Linked DNA regions of Kluyveromyces lactis. The protein of the gene in region 3 purifies or fractionates together with the protein of the main gene of each other region. This does not show direct contact. Links are inferred from orthologs where the notes say so. Each region holds a gene or a part of one and is shown on either strand. Other genes may lie near its edges.

Region 1 (4,473 bases), on a different chromosome or scaffold from region 3:
TTTGGAAACATTTCAGGGACTCATTCTGTCCTCATATGAAGATGATCTATCATTGCAGAGTATGCGGTACGGATTCCCACCTCAGAGTATACTTTTTCAGGGGAATGAGGCTAAGACACTTGAAGAGCTAGGAATATGCAATGGGGAACGGATCATAGTGAGCCTGAGTAAAGCCGATGAAGCTATTGCCACCAGAACACAACCAAGTATTAATGCCAGTAAAGCAAATACACTACCCAATAAAGAAGTGAAAAAGAAGCCCACTGGTAAATCTGAAAGTGTACAGATAGATTCAACTAGAGCACTACAACTCCATGAAGTGCCCGATGACAATTCGTGTCTATTCCATGCTATATCCTATGCTGTCTACAAGAACATTTCACTGTCATCAGAACTACGGGGAGTTGTGGCGTCAGAAGTCCGGAGAGACCCATTTGAATATTCAGATGCTATTCTTGGCAGGCCGAATCATGAATACAGTGAGTGGATAATGAAACATTCTTCATGGGGAGGTGGTATCGAGATTGCAATATTATCGAAACATTTTCAGTATGCGATATACGTGCTCGATGTGGATGCACGTAAATTCGAGAAATTCAACGAGGATTTATACGATAAATTTATTATTATAGCATATAACGGAGTTCATTATGATACGGTAGAGATATTTGATGGAACTCAGCATCAAACTGTATTTGACATCGGAGAGAAAGATACTGAATTCCTTTTACAAAAAACACAGGAGATCGCGAAGAAGATGAAAAGAGAGGGGAAGTCTTTCAATACTGCAAGAGATTCAATTTTATGCAATACTTGTGGCACCACCTTGATTGGAGAACGAGAGGTGAGCAAGCACGCTGAGAAAACTGGTCATGTTGATTTTAGGCAAAAATAAAACAAATATAACCATTGAATAATATTGAAGAAAGAAATAGCACTTAATATATGAGCGTCTGTATATCTACCAGTTTATATAATTGCACTTTCGGTGTATTTCTCTTGTGTTAAATGATAATATACATTGAAGAAAAAGCACAGGAAGTGAAAATGTTTTCCTGCATCTAATCAGCCATTTGAATTTCCCCTTCAGCAACTACAGCTTCTTGCTGTGCTTGTTCCTGTACTGCACCATCAAGGTATGGCAAAGTGGATTCTGTTGTGCTGACGTTGGCCAAAGTGGTATCAAGATGTGAGGTTAATATCTTTTCGTTTTCCTCCTTTTGAGGACCAATTTGAGATTTGATCTGCTCTACTCTAGCCAAGAACGAGTTCACACCACACCCAACAGCAGCATCTGCTACCTGTTGAGTGTATGGAACACCTTTCAATTCCTTCACCCTTCTCTTATGGATTTTAGTCTTCAAATGAGTCTTTAAGGCATATGCAGTTTCGAAATATTTAGCACAGTGTATGCAGTAGTATTGCCCTAGACCCGGTTTAGTTTCATCTATCGGCTGATTCAGGAGACTATCAATTTGCTTTTGAGATGTAAGCTCTTCATAGATCAAATCAAGATCCTTTGTTCTTCTCTTCGTCTTGTAACGTTTAACAGAATATCTTCCCATTTTCCTTTCTTACCTTCTCCTATATTTCTGACAGGCTGGTACCACAGATTAACTTAAACTATCAAACAAAACCAATGAGTATCTAAGTCTCATAGAGAAAGAGATTCAATGATGTGTGTTTGTACTTCTTTCTTCGCACTTGGCTTTATCGTAGAAACACCGAGTACATAAAATTTTCTGCAATATCATGTCTCGTCTCATCTCATCTCATCTCATCGACTTGGAAAAGAAATGAAATTTCAATCAGCATCACGTGCATAACAACGCATCTGGGACTGCTATCCCCAACACCCAGACACTATTACATATTGGCATTCAACATATTTTTATGATACAAAAACAACCACAATAGGAAATAGAGCACGTGATTAGTAACTATTTTCTTTGATTTGTTTTCACAGTAGTTTCTTACCGTGTGACTTCGCTACGACTTTCCAATCTTTTTCAAGTTTCTGACAAATGCAAAAGCTTCCTGCAATAGTTGGTGGTAATCATCGAGATTTTCAAATGTAATAAAAAGAGAACATAATTTAATGATAATTATCGATATCTTTAACATAAGGTTTGATCATTCGCTTCAATTTTGTTTATTATTTACAGGAACACCGATCACCTATCACCGTCCAAAGTAATTCAAAATGGCTAGAAGACCAGCTAGATGTTACAGATACCAAAAGAACAAGCCTTACCCAAAGTCTAGATACAACAGAGCTGTTCCAGACTCTAAGATCAGAATTTATGATTTGGGTAAGAAGAAGGCCACTGTCGATGAATTCCCATTGTGTGTCCACTTAGTTTCCAATGAATTGGAACAATTGTCTTCTGAAGCTTTGGAAGCTGCTCGTATTACTGCTAACAAGTACATCACCAAGATGACTGGTAGAGATTCTTTCCACTTAAGAGTCAGAGTCCACCCATTCCACGTTTTGAGAATCAACAAGATGTTGTCTTGTGCCGGTGCCGATAGATTGCAACAAGGTATGAGAGGTGCTTGGGGTAAGCCTCACGGTTTGGCTGCCAGAGTTGCCATTGGTCAAGTTATCTTCTCTGTCAGAACCAAGGACAACAACAAGGACACTGTCATTGAAGGTTTGAGAAGAGCTAGATACAAGTTCCCAGGTCAACAAAAGATCATTATCTCTAAGAAGTGGGGTTTCACTTCTTTGAACCGTGAAGAATACGTTAAGAAGAGAGACGCTGGTGAAATTAAGGACGATGGTGCTTTTGTCAAGTTCTTGTCCAAGAAGGGTTCTTTGGAAGAAAACATCAGAGAATTCCCAGAATACTTCGCTAAGGCTTAAATTTTTTATGTGTTGAATCAATAATAATTTCATCGTCATTTTAAGTAACCTAACCTACATACTATTTTAGCTTACCATTATGTTTTGGAGTTAATTCAATATCATTTTTCTTTCCTTCTCTTTAATCTCAAGTATGGACAATTCTCCCGAATAAAATGATACAAACCTATCCTTTGGCAATTACAATCATACGTAAATAATACATATAGATCCGCTTGGCAAAAACTAGGATTCTGTTTTACGTACAAATAATATTTGATCCAATGATGTACTTTTCAAGTCGAATTTATGGTAATTTCCAAGTGCCATATATGCAATCTTAGCCTTCATCCTTTTTTCTAAACTTGTAGGTGAGATTCTTCCTCTCCCTTTACTTGTAAGGATCGACGATATGCTGAAGATATGTTCGATATGAGTCGATGAAACAGCAATGCTGTCCATTAGGTGATTGAAAAGTGAAAGGATGGGGCAGTTTTTGATATCAGCCCAAATCTTGTGATGAACGTCCCGCATAGTCAATAAGAGATATTCATATTCACTTAGTTTGGTTCCATTAGAAAGTTTGAACATACCAATAGTCTCTTCATAAACGGTACCGTTACAATTCATATGATCTTCAGTATACTGAACGTGCATTTTATTGTATTGGCCATTGAAGCTTTGGACTTCTTTTAGAACCATTGAATAGAAAATGTACCGGAAATGTGATTCATCTATCCTTTGGTCATCGATGGTTTCACTGCCATCATCAAATACAATACTCATAATACCAGGTATACGTGGCTGAGATGTTGTGTCCATCCCGTTTTTCACTTGAATATTTAACATGGGAAATAAGATATCTGTAACAGCGTCACTGACACATCTTGACAAAAGCTCGTTATTCTTTTTATTGTTGCCCTTTTCGTACTGAAGGTTTAGTTTTTGCATGAGGTATGGCAAATTTCTGTACCCACAATTGAAATAACTAGCAACTACCAATAATCGTTCTTTCTCATAGGACTCAGTGTACTGTTCAATTTTACTCAAAAATCTCTCTATTTGAGTTAAAACCACAGTTATTCTGTCGTCATCCTTTGTAAAACCTAATTGTTTCCTATTAAGTTTGGCTTTCAATTTGATAACATGTGGCACTACAGCGTCTTTATAACTGCTTAAGGCAGAAAGCAAATACCTCGATGTTGTCTCTGGACTATTGAAAAAAGCTGTTATCGTCTGAAATGGTTTCAAAAGAATAATATACACTCTGATGCATTCAAAGTCGAATTCATCAAGCAATGAACTTAACGATCCCTCTTTGATCAACTGTAGCAGACATGGTGCCAATAGCGTTGCTCTTTCAAAACATAACACAGAATATGTCCATCTTGTTCTAACATAAGGAATTAGCCCATCAATGTCACCTAATCGTTTATCAGTACAGTATTTCTTAATGGCCTTTCGATTGACCGGCCTTCTGCATTCGATTTCCAACTTATTAATCGATTCTAGTAGTTTATGTGCTCCTGAGACCCTCGTATCCATTGAATCTGCTCCGAATATCTCGTTAAAAAATATATCATGGACGTCAGAGTAGTCAGGTAATGAAGCGTCATCATCATTCAAGT
Region 2 (5,462 bases), on a different chromosome or scaffold from region 3:
CCACTAACGCATACCAGCAAGTACGTCTCTTTGTTGGAAGCAAAGGTGCGAAAGTTTCAGGCAACAATGGTTGTTCCAACAATTTTTCGAAGGGATCCTGTTCCAATAACAATGGATCATCGCCAGCTATTTTTTCAGCTGGGATCAATGAGTTTGGGAAAAGTTTGTGTCTTGGAGAACGAACCAACACTTTAACTTGAATGTGAGGAGTAGAACCTGGTTCTGCGGTATTTAGAGAAGATCCACGAACTTTGAAGGAGCCCTTGACGAGCTTCAACTTAGGAATACGAGACGCTACTTTCAAAGTTTCATTGAGTGCTGTTTCATCTTTTATTCCTAGCATCTTACCTATCTTATCATCTGGGTATGTGAATAATTTACCCAAGGCACAAATATCATCTGTAGTTGAATCCAAGAAATGCTCTTTATCCACGTTTGGTAATTGAAAGATTTGAGAGTGTGGCGATAACGGAGTTGCCTGTACCACTGTCTTATACGTGTCTAACGCCATCAATGCAACTTCAGTGTTCCTAAAAGTGGATGCGATTTCTATCAATTGATGGAAAAGTAACGATGATTTGGTAAGCACATAGTTCCTTGCATATTCGTTTTCAGTCTTTTCACGGTTAACATGGGAATGGATAATGTTAGCGATGTCCACGGAAGACAATTCTGGGAATTTCAATTGGAATTCTTTTGCTTCAGAGATCCATTTAATGATTAAGTCTGGCACAACAACATAAGATGGTTTGAAGTTGAACATTTTGTCAACGAAGTGAGATGCTGTTTCAGAATGAATACCGTGTTTTGTGTACTCTTGCGAAGTGCTCCACCATTTAGAAACTACCATGGGTAACACAAACGCAAGTAGAATGAAATATGCAAAAACAACAAATGGGGAAGTACCTCCTTCCACCAAGAACTTGGGCAAAGCGATACCGTGAGAAGTAGATTGAGGACCATCTGGATGACCATACTTTCTATAATTTTCCTTCGTAATTTCATCAGTTAAAGCCTTATAAGCCTTGTTAATCATCACGAACTGTTCCTCCATAGCCGTTCTTTCAATCTCATTTAGGTCCTTGGAAAGCTTATCGGGATGGAATTTGACAGATAATTTCCTGTATGCAGACTTGATCTCTTTATCGGTAGACGAAAGCGTCACACCAAGTAACTCATATGGATCAAAAGCCGCTGCTGCAATCTGATAGATAGCATCGTTGGAACGAATATGATAAATCAACATCGAAATGAGCACCCAACCAACGGTAATGAAGTAAATTCCCTTCTTGGACCTTTTCTTCTTATTAGCAAGTCTATATTTCCGAACTTCTTCTGAAGTATATTTTTCGTGCAATTGACTCCATTCTGATGAAGAACTCTTATCGCTGGAGTCCCCAACAATCAATCTATACAGCTCAATCAATGTTACCGGTGTAACAGCCACAAATAACACCGTGAGTACGAAAAATGGCCATGTGGTGCTTGCCTCATCGTAATCATAATTCTGCGGCATGGCGTCGTTGTCTGTTCGTCTGCTTGTCTGTTGTAGAACCAAAAGACTGCCAATAAATTAAGCCGCTACAATAAAACACACAGCAGGCAGCAATCAAAAAAAGTGAACCACAGTGTACTATTAAACAAAAAAGCCTTCAAACTGCAAACAATTATTCCTCTGATCTAGAAAAGTAGTTAACAGTTAACTTATTTCGATTTTAATATGCCAGTCTGTATTTTCCAAAAACCTTTGGGTTTTTTTCCTTCTGTTTGAAACACTATACGTATTCAATACGGCAGAGCTTAGAAGAACAAATAGAAGAGAAAGACCAAAAAAAAAAAAGATATTTATACGTCACGTGCTCGTAATATATCACATGACCTTGAATTTTCTGTTTCGATTTGGTCGATCATCTCTTTCTACTAAACTGAAGAATAAAATTAAAAAAAAAAATGCTAAAAACCTAGAAATAATCAAAAAATGTGCTAGTCTCATTGGTAATTGAGATGGGAATAGAGATTGAAAGATGAGGCTCACCGGGTTAACCGATTTGGTTGAGAAAAGTCTTGTGATATAGCGTTACTAGAGTGATGCAAGTTAGTGGTTTTGGTAACGTGAATCAGATTGGTGCTTTGGCACAGCAAAACCAATTGGATAACTTAGTCAGCGTTAGCATTCGTGGATGGACTAACGCTACTCAACAGGATTTGTTGAATTTCATTTCGAGAAAGACCAGGATCTCAGTGAGAAACTCTGTGGTTCAAGGGGACACTATAGTTGGTTATGTGACACCGCAGGAGGCAGATCAATTGGTGAAATTTAGTGGGTACCGGTTTGCAGGCAATTCATTGAAGATTCACAAGGCAGCCGGTGGGAACACAAACCCTAATACGAATGATACGATAACCGTTCTTCGTAATGTGCTTTTGAGAAGATATAATGTGCAAACGAGGATGTTGGATCTTGGTAATTTGTTCAATGATCCGGAGTTGGTGCAACGCGGTATGGCTCCGAAAAATGTTAATACGCAGTCCAAGATGTTCCCGGCTATGATGAAAGTGGCTTCAAAGGAGCCTAGCATGGTTGTTGAATCGATCAACCTATCTGATAATAATTTGAGAGACGTCAATGGTGTTACCACGTTGGCACAGACTTTCCCTCATTTGAAAAACCTATGCATCGCCAATAATAGTATTAGTCGATTCCATTCTCTTGAAGTTTGGAAGAATAAATTCAAAGAGTTGAGGGAGCTTCTGATGATGAATAATCCAATTACATCGGATCGTTTATATCGTACAGAAATGTTAAGGATATTCCCCAAATTGGTGATTCTAGATAACGTTGTCGTTCGTGACGAGCAGAAACTACTGTCTATCTATAGCTTACCGGTACAACAAACCCAGTTCTTTTTCGAAGATAATGGATTGGCATCATCGTCAACAGATTTTATTACCAACTTCTTGAACTTGTGGGATTCGAATAGAATGCAATTGATGGGTTTGTACACTCCACAGTCTCAATTTTCCTTAAGTGTTGATTCTTCCGTTCCAGCTGCTACTGTACCTAATGCTCAAACGACTCCTACATTCGGTCATTACTTACCATTTTCAAGAAACATTTCCAAGATATCTAGCGACAAGACCATCCAAGAACGGTTACGTATAGGGCCCGAAGCAATTTATGAAGTGTTCGGATCTCTCCCTATGACAAAACATTTTTTGCAAGAACAACCTGATGCTTACTCTGTGCAAGCCTGGACCTTCCCACAAGTTCAAGGGTTTGTTATCACTCTTCATGGCCATTTCGATGAAACTGCCAAACCTGAAATTGACAAGAGCAAAACATCACAAGGATCATCTGCCTCTAGAGGAAGGAGATACAACCATGGATTTACGTCTACGCCGAACATCAAACTTTCACAGAAATCCTTCGATAGAACAATGGTCTTAGTTCCAAGTCCAAATGGTAGTGTCATCATTGCATCTGATTCGTTGACGATAAGGCCATTCTGTGATAGCGCTTGGTCTAAACCACCTTCTCCACCACATCTCCAAGCTCAATCTGTGCAACATCAGCCACAAATGAACGTGCCCCTCTCACAAACTCCGCCAAATACATCATCCATTCCTGGCCAAATCCCGGGAGTTCTTGGATCGACACCTTTGCAATTCTCACCGGAAGTGCAAGCAAAATTGTCACCTGTACAATTAGAACTACTTCAGAAGTTACACCTTGAAACAAAGCTTAACGCTGAGTACACTTATATGCTTGCCGAGCAAAGTCTTTGGAACTATGATAATGCTATCCAAGGATTTAGAAACAGTGCAAACAATCTACCCAGAGAGGCATTCATCTAAAAGTATTGAGCTAATCATGTGCGCTTCTTTAAAAAAGAACATCTTAATTCATTCAGTATAATATATAGTTGCATCTCACACAAATAAATTAAACTAAGTATATCCATCTATTTATATCAGTTGGATTCAAGGTGACTTGACTCTGTGACTATTTTTTATCATATATCCTGTTTGTCACAAAGTGTACGTCAATAAAAAAAGGGCCTAACATTCAGAACATTATACTAGCCAATGAACTCTTAAGCAAATTACAAATTGTGATTATAAGCTCACTACAGTTTTGCTGAAAACTCACTATTCCAAGGCAATATAACTACATTAAATGAGATCGATACCAGAACCTCGCCAATCAAAATATAATCGATTTAGAAGGTTATTTAATAAGGTGCATAATTGTGTCACTTTGAAAAGATTGAAAAGGCGATGGAACCTACACAAGTTGAAGAAGAGCTCAAGGAATACAAATCAGAGATCTGCAATCCCAATAGACCGTATTGCTAATCTTCCTACTGGTATGTCGCATAAATCGAGTAACATGAAACCATTGCTTCTAGTATCGTTTAATAAAGGTCAGGAGAATTCGCCAAAGGTGAGAATTCTAGAAACCAATGGACATTTGAGATCTTGGATCAGCGGTAGAAAATTCTCAATGAAACGAATAGTGAATAACGCATCTGTAGAGAGAGATCCTTATCAAAATTCGAGGCACACAGTTAGGCAAGAAGTAGCAAAACACGCAGATTTAAAGGTCAATTATTCTGAACAAGGAATCGTGAAAACTGTCGACATACCGTGCTGTTACACAGAAGATCCGAAGTTGATTAATATAGGACAAGAGCACACTTTTAGAATACGTGACTATCCTTCTTTGAATCCTAGTCAGCGAACGACGAGAAATGGTTTCAGGAGTAGAAATCAGCCTGAACCTGTTTCGCGCTTCTTCTTTGAGGAAGTTGCAGAGACCATGTCCTAATCCATCATATACAGACATATAAATTATCTGGACTTGTAGTACACTAGAAAACAGAAGCATAAATAAATACAAAAATAGTCCTTAATCTCACCAAGGCCTGAACAAATATTCTAATTGTTTACACCGGGTTCAGCTTCCAAACTTCCTATGCATGGGTACTTCTTTTGGAAATGCGCAGCCCATCCTTCTAGAGCTCCCCGCTCTTGCTCGTTTAAGTCCTGGAGAGTATCTATAGGTTGGTCCCAGTGTCTTACTGTATCCAAATCAAATGAGTTTGTAGCAAGTCCTCTGGATGCATCATGTCCAGCAAAATTAGAGTATGGTCCGCTAGGCCCGTAAAATTGTCTTCCTTGGCTGCAGTCGTACACTTTCCCCAAAACTGCGATAAAGATCTTTTCATCGTCATGTCCATTGAATTTGGATAGCGTTCTGGGATAAAACTTTCCTTCCACAATTGGGTCATTTGACTTAGAGCTAGCACCTTCGTTGCCGCTACCACTTTGCGTTAAACCCGTTGGGTCAGCTGTGGTCTTCACAGCACCTGTCAAAAAGTTCTTAATAAAAGACATTTGCTTTAAGATTGAGACTTGATTATCGAAACTCTATGTTCAGACTTAGTTACAACAAAATCAAC
Region 3 (5,222 bases):
TAGACCAATTATAATAAACGATAAAAGTCCTAACTTCATTAAAAATCCAATTTTTTCATTGTGATACTTTTTCAATCTGGATCCGAGTGAAGAAAGGCTCTTAGAAGTAACATGCAATCCGATTTCTGCTGCCTTAAGAACAGTAGAGTCGTGTTCGATAGCATTCTGGAAAGCTTCCGCACCTTGTCTTAAGCCTGAAACTAGCTGGGACATGTCTTCAACCAGTTCCTTCTGAAGATCATCCTGAATTTGCATTTGTTTGTCAAATGATTCACCCTCCGTATCAGCGCTGTCCCTTCTTTTACCCATAAGCCTTTGGCGGAGCTCCTTCAAAGAATCGTTGTCATTAATTGCTTCAACATTGGATATTATATCAACATCGTCCTCATCTCCTATAGGCACGTCGGGCGTTGCATCGAAATCAACACTATATCGCCTTTTCTTTTGAGATTCCTGATATGCATCATATTTCTGTTGCAACTTAGAAGCTTTGGAGAAACTGATAGAGCTAACCGATTCCTCTAGTCTGCTAAAGTTTTTCTGGTATCTATCAATAGCATCAGAAGACGGATCATCCAAGTTATCCTTTATAGCCAGTTTTCTCACGGTATTTAAGTTTGTGGCCAGTTTTGTAGATATAAGATAATGGTAAAAAGGGTCTTCGTCATCTTGAAAGAGCGAAAGGTCCCTGTAATAATTTTTGCGTAGTTGATCACTTAATGTGTCTAAATCTGTCGTCATATTCCGTCAGTTAATGTCCTTTAACGAGGCGCTATCCCTTTTTATTTGTGATTGGAATTGTACTAAGTATTATTTTAAAGGCTATATTACATTTTGTTTTATGTCACTAAAATATTATCCCAAACCTCAATCAAAGAAATAACAGAGCTGTCTGAATGAAAGTCATTCACTCTGAAGCATGACCCTTGCCAACCCTTACAAAAGCGCATGTAAGAAAGAGTGGACCGAGTGCTACTTAATGTATCTACCGATGGTAAGTATAACATAAGGCTGAACTTGGTTAACTATTGCTAAATCTTATTGATATACAAATTCATACGACTCTCATAATATTTCAGAGGAAACTACTGAACCAATTAAATGGGTAATATTTCCGCCCACCTACTATCAAACTACAAACTGTAGGAATTCAGTTGTTGTTAGCGAAAAGGGCGTTAAATGGGAGTATCCCAGCTCTGGGCATCTTGAGCTTACTTCTACATGCGTGGAATAAGTCTGCGCCATGATAACCACAACGCGAACCATAATTGAACATGCCGAAATGTGTTTAAGAGCCCTTGTTTGCTGAGCTAGGAACCAAAAAGATAACCACAAATGACAAGAATACTTATCAACTGGACCATGTACTGAGGTCAAGTATAAAGTAAACCAACTTTAACCAAGTTTTGTATCCTTTTCTTTTGGTTCATCAAATTTTTCAGTAAACACCGGGTAATGCAGTGACAAGTTGCATGCTAACCATAGGTCTTATAACCGGAAGCAGGGCAGCTAAGGAAGATATAAAGGATATGCAGTTACATTTCCATAATGAATGGGGATAATAGACTGTGCAAACAGTGGATTTATATATATATAAGAGTTTAGGATGAATTTAGATAGTACTTACATTAATCGGAAAACATGGAAGCCTTTTTCTTACTCTTCTTGTTCTTCTTGTTATGCTTCTTACCATTTTCGTTGGCGACGGTTTGCTTATGGAAAGGGTTCGTAAGTCTGCCTTGAACACCGTTCAAATGGAAGAAATTTTTGTCAAGTTCATCAGCTACGTTGTACAAGGCTGCTTGTTTACCACCATGGTTGACAGATTTAGCTTGTACTTTATCACCATCACCACCAATATGAGCAGAGAACGTTAATCGACTTAAATCGCGAGCAAGATCCAAATCTTGTATACCTTTGTGTTTGGCAGCTTCTGCAAGTTGCTCTTGTCTGTTGATAGGTAATTTACTGAACGTGTATAAATCTTTGTTGAATTCCTTACATTCTTCTCTGGTATATGGCGTATCATCGTCCATGTGAGGCGGTGGATTAATGTACAGGAGTTTACCGTTCACATAATCTTTGAGAATGTAACGAGAGGCACGAGATTCATCTGCGGCACCAAAACCTTGTGTCATATAACCACGAGCTCTGGCATAAGCAACGAGTAATTCTTGTGCAGTTGGTACTTCACCATTCCCACCCTCTTCTACGGATTTGGTCTGAATATGGATACCGTAAATGGCTTCCAAAAAGTATTTAGGGACCCTTTCTGCCACTAATGTCGATGGCCCAATATAGTCACGTAACTGATCGATCGGTAGAACACCGTTACACACCAATTCACCTTTATTGTATGCAAAATTAGGGAAAACTAGACCTGGACAGTCGCATAACGTTACCTTATCAGATAACTTGATAGTTTGGAAATGTTTGGTCTTACCAGGGGTAGAAGAGACAGAAACTTTCTTGGCACCCACCAAGGCATTTATAGTGGAAGACTTACCAACGTTTGGATAACCCACTAGACCTATTTGTATGATTGGCTCTTGACCGGGCAATGGAGGAAGTAGCGGATCGTTTGGCGCTTTATCTAAGAACAATTCTTCAAGTTGATCGATCTTCAGTATGTTAATTTTATCCAGAATTTCTTTGTTCACTTCTTCCCCATCAAGTTCTTCAATTTCTTCCTCTGTAGCCAGTATTTCCTCATCGTCCTCTTCTTCAACGTATTCATCCCCTAGTTCCTCTTGTCTCTCTAATATTTCATTAGCCTTGGCAGCAGAAAAGAATGTAAAAGAGATGCCCCTCGAGAGAAGGTACTTGGCCCAAATAATACGTTGCTTTCTTGTTAATAAATCCGCTTTGTTGATCAAAAGTAAATTCTGTTTCCTGTCATCCACTTCTTTCACATATTTCTCTAAATCTGTGGATCTGAATAATAATGGATCTCTGGCATCCACGATTTGGACTACTAGATCACATCGCTCAACAACTCTCCACAACTGCCTCCAAACTTCAATGTTTCTCTCGAATGGAGTCAATAACAAATCCTCGTTGTCTTCTTGCAAATAGGCTAATTTACGTCTCCATTCCAAGAATGCTTCCTTTTCTAACCTTTCTAATTCAAATCTGGTCATAGATTCATTCCACTTAGGCCTTCTTGGGACAATCAACTCTCTAGCATGTAATCTCTGCTTCTCGTTGATCTTACTTTTCTGCTCATTGGTCAAACTAAATCCCTGGGATGTGGCTGCATCGGCACCGTTATCCATTCTGATGATCTTGACATTAGAATGTCTGTCCGCTGTGAAATCCTTGTCTGCTAACTCAGCAGTACTCAAAAATTCATCTAATGCAGATTCCTGAGTAACAGATCTCAATTTTACCCAATTAGCTTCGTGCTTATCGGTAGTGAAACGTTCTTCACCATCTGGCAAATACTGCACTTCATTTTCCTTACGTCTTGCAGTTTGAATTGCCTTACCTAACCCAATAGTGTTTTTATTCTTCCTTTGAATAGGCTTTGGACCCTTTGGAGGTTTCCACTTCTTTGTTGTTTCCTTTGGTGGCATGCTGCTAGTCCGTGTTGCTTGTAGACCTGCCGTTAACTGCTAAGATTGTTGTGCTGATGCTTTGCTTATGATGAGATGAGCTGGTTAACATATTAAAATTTTCCGCTAGTACGTAAAGTGTAAAAAAGAAATTGTGTGGTAAACCTGAACTAGAACAGATGGATGGCTCAACAATCTTTACAAAAGCACCCGCATGATGAGGATGCAGAGTACGACTCCAACATAGGTATTGCATACCACCTTAGAGGAGCGACAAAATTAGAAGTCAAGAGTTTCTGCAGAATGGAAGAAACTGCAGCTGATAAAAGGGTTACCACGCGTCTTCCTCCATGTTGCTTGTGTATTTTAAGAGAGAAATTTATCATTGTGGGTACCTATCTCTTGCATAAGGACTCAGGCAATCGAACTGGCTCTATTGAGGTTTATGATAAAGAATTGAACCTTCTTTCTAGCATAAAAACCTATGGGGCAATTTTAGATTTGAAGCTCAATCCATTCGATGATACTTTACTCGCAACAGCTCATTCAACCGGTAATATGATTCTGTGGACGATATCTGTCGACGATGATAATTCATCAATTGATATCAAACTATTGAACAACCTTCAAGTATTTGATCCCACATGTCTAATAACGTCTCTCCAGTTTTCTCCATTGCTGGATAATCTCGTACTTTTAACCACTACTAATGGGGATTTTGCTACTGTTGATATCATACATGGTGAAATATGCTTTATAGAGGAGGTGGAGCCATCGTATTTCGACTCCTCAACAATAAATTATATTGAGGTGCCAAATGCAGACATCAAAGTTATAAATGTTCAGAATGACCATGAACAAATCTTTCATTTCAAACATTCTTTGGAGTGCTGGACCGGCGAGTTCGGCTGTTTGGCTCCTTTGAAAGATGTTGTATTCACTGGTGGTGACGACTCTGCAATTGCAGCTCATGATTTGAATTCAGGCAAAAAGATCTGGTCCAATTCAAAAATTCATCAAGCTGGTGTTACGGCAATTAAGGCTGCTAGGGAGACATTTAGAGGCAACAAGCCAACAAGTTTAATCACAGGCTCTTATGATGACCATATACGATCCTTTGATCTAAGAATGCTCTCAGAAACCACAATATATCCAGGGACAGACGTCCCTGTGGTTAATAAATGGGAAGACAATTTACAGGGTGGTGTTTGGAGATTCTCGGAGGCCCCAACGAATGACGGACTGTCAAATAACAGACTTATGGTTTGTTGCATGTATAATGGTGCGAAGGTTGTCAACGTCCAAAACGATCATTTCGTGACCGAGCAGTTTATAAAAGAAGGGCATGAATCAATGTGTTACGGTGGTGATTGGAGTAAAGAAACAGTTGCAACTTGTTCTTTTTATGACAAGTCCCTACAACTTTGGAAAAGTCCAAATTAATACACATATAGTTTTAAAAGGAACGAAAAAAGCAGACGGAATTGAGACATAATTGATGTGTTCTCACTTCGCTGTTTCGATGAGCTTCAGTATGTATTCTTTTTTAAATATAGGACCATTTGTTTCATCTTATTAACGCACGTGACTTCAAGTATCTTCATCCTGCAACACCAAAACACGAAAGTTTTGGAAAAACTGGGTAAGTAATCCTTTGATCTAAAATTT

Evidence for each region. Proteins that work in one complex are often made in the same cells at the same time.
Region 1: the proteins of LSG1 (region 3) and RPL10 purify together in Saccharomyces cerevisiae (affinity purification with mass spectrometry; 5 studies listed by BioGRID, with this or other methods). This does not show direct contact. The link is inferred for Kluyveromyces lactis from reciprocal best matches to the Saccharomyces cerevisiae genes LSG1 and RPL10.
Region 2: the proteins of LSG1 (region 3) and MEX67 purify together in Saccharomyces cerevisiae (affinity purification with western blotting; 8 studies listed by BioGRID, with this or other methods). This does not show direct contact. The link is inferred for Kluyveromyces lactis from reciprocal best matches to the Saccharomyces cerevisiae genes LSG1 and MEX67.

Annotation. Positions count from the first base shown.
Region 1 is NC_006040.1:485,818-490,290, forward strand, and holds RPL10 (60S ribosomal protein uL16), read left to right. Parts: upstream 1-2,203; coding exon 2,204-2,866; downstream 2,867-4,473. Other genes in the region: ubiquitin-specific protease OTU1, read left to right, coding at 1-895; BUD20 (Bud20p), read right to left, coding at 1,062-1,565.
Region 2 is NC_006039.1:844,695-850,156, reverse strand, and holds MEX67 (Mex67p), read left to right. Parts: upstream 1-2,088; coding exon 2,089-3,855; downstream 3,856-5,462. Other genes in the region: protein-transporting protein SEC63, read right to left, coding at 1-1,516; OSW1 (Osw1p), read left to right, coding at 4,178-4,828; DAP1 (Dap1p), read right to left, coding at 4,939-5,397. UniProt on the Saccharomyces cerevisiae protein: Involved in the export of mRNA from the nucleus to the cytoplasm.
Region 3 is NC_006042.1:640,303-645,524, forward strand, and holds LSG1 (ribosome biogenesis GTPase LSG1), read right to left. Parts: upstream 3,576-5,222; coding exon 1,629-3,575; downstream 1-1,628. Other genes in the region: SNAP receptor USE1, read right to left, coding at 1-741; RRT2 (diphthamide synthase), read left to right, coding at 3,738-4,997. UniProt on the Saccharomyces cerevisiae protein: GTPase required for the nuclear export of the 60S ribosomal subunit. Acts by mediating the release of NMD3 from the 60S ribosomal subunit after export into the cytoplasm.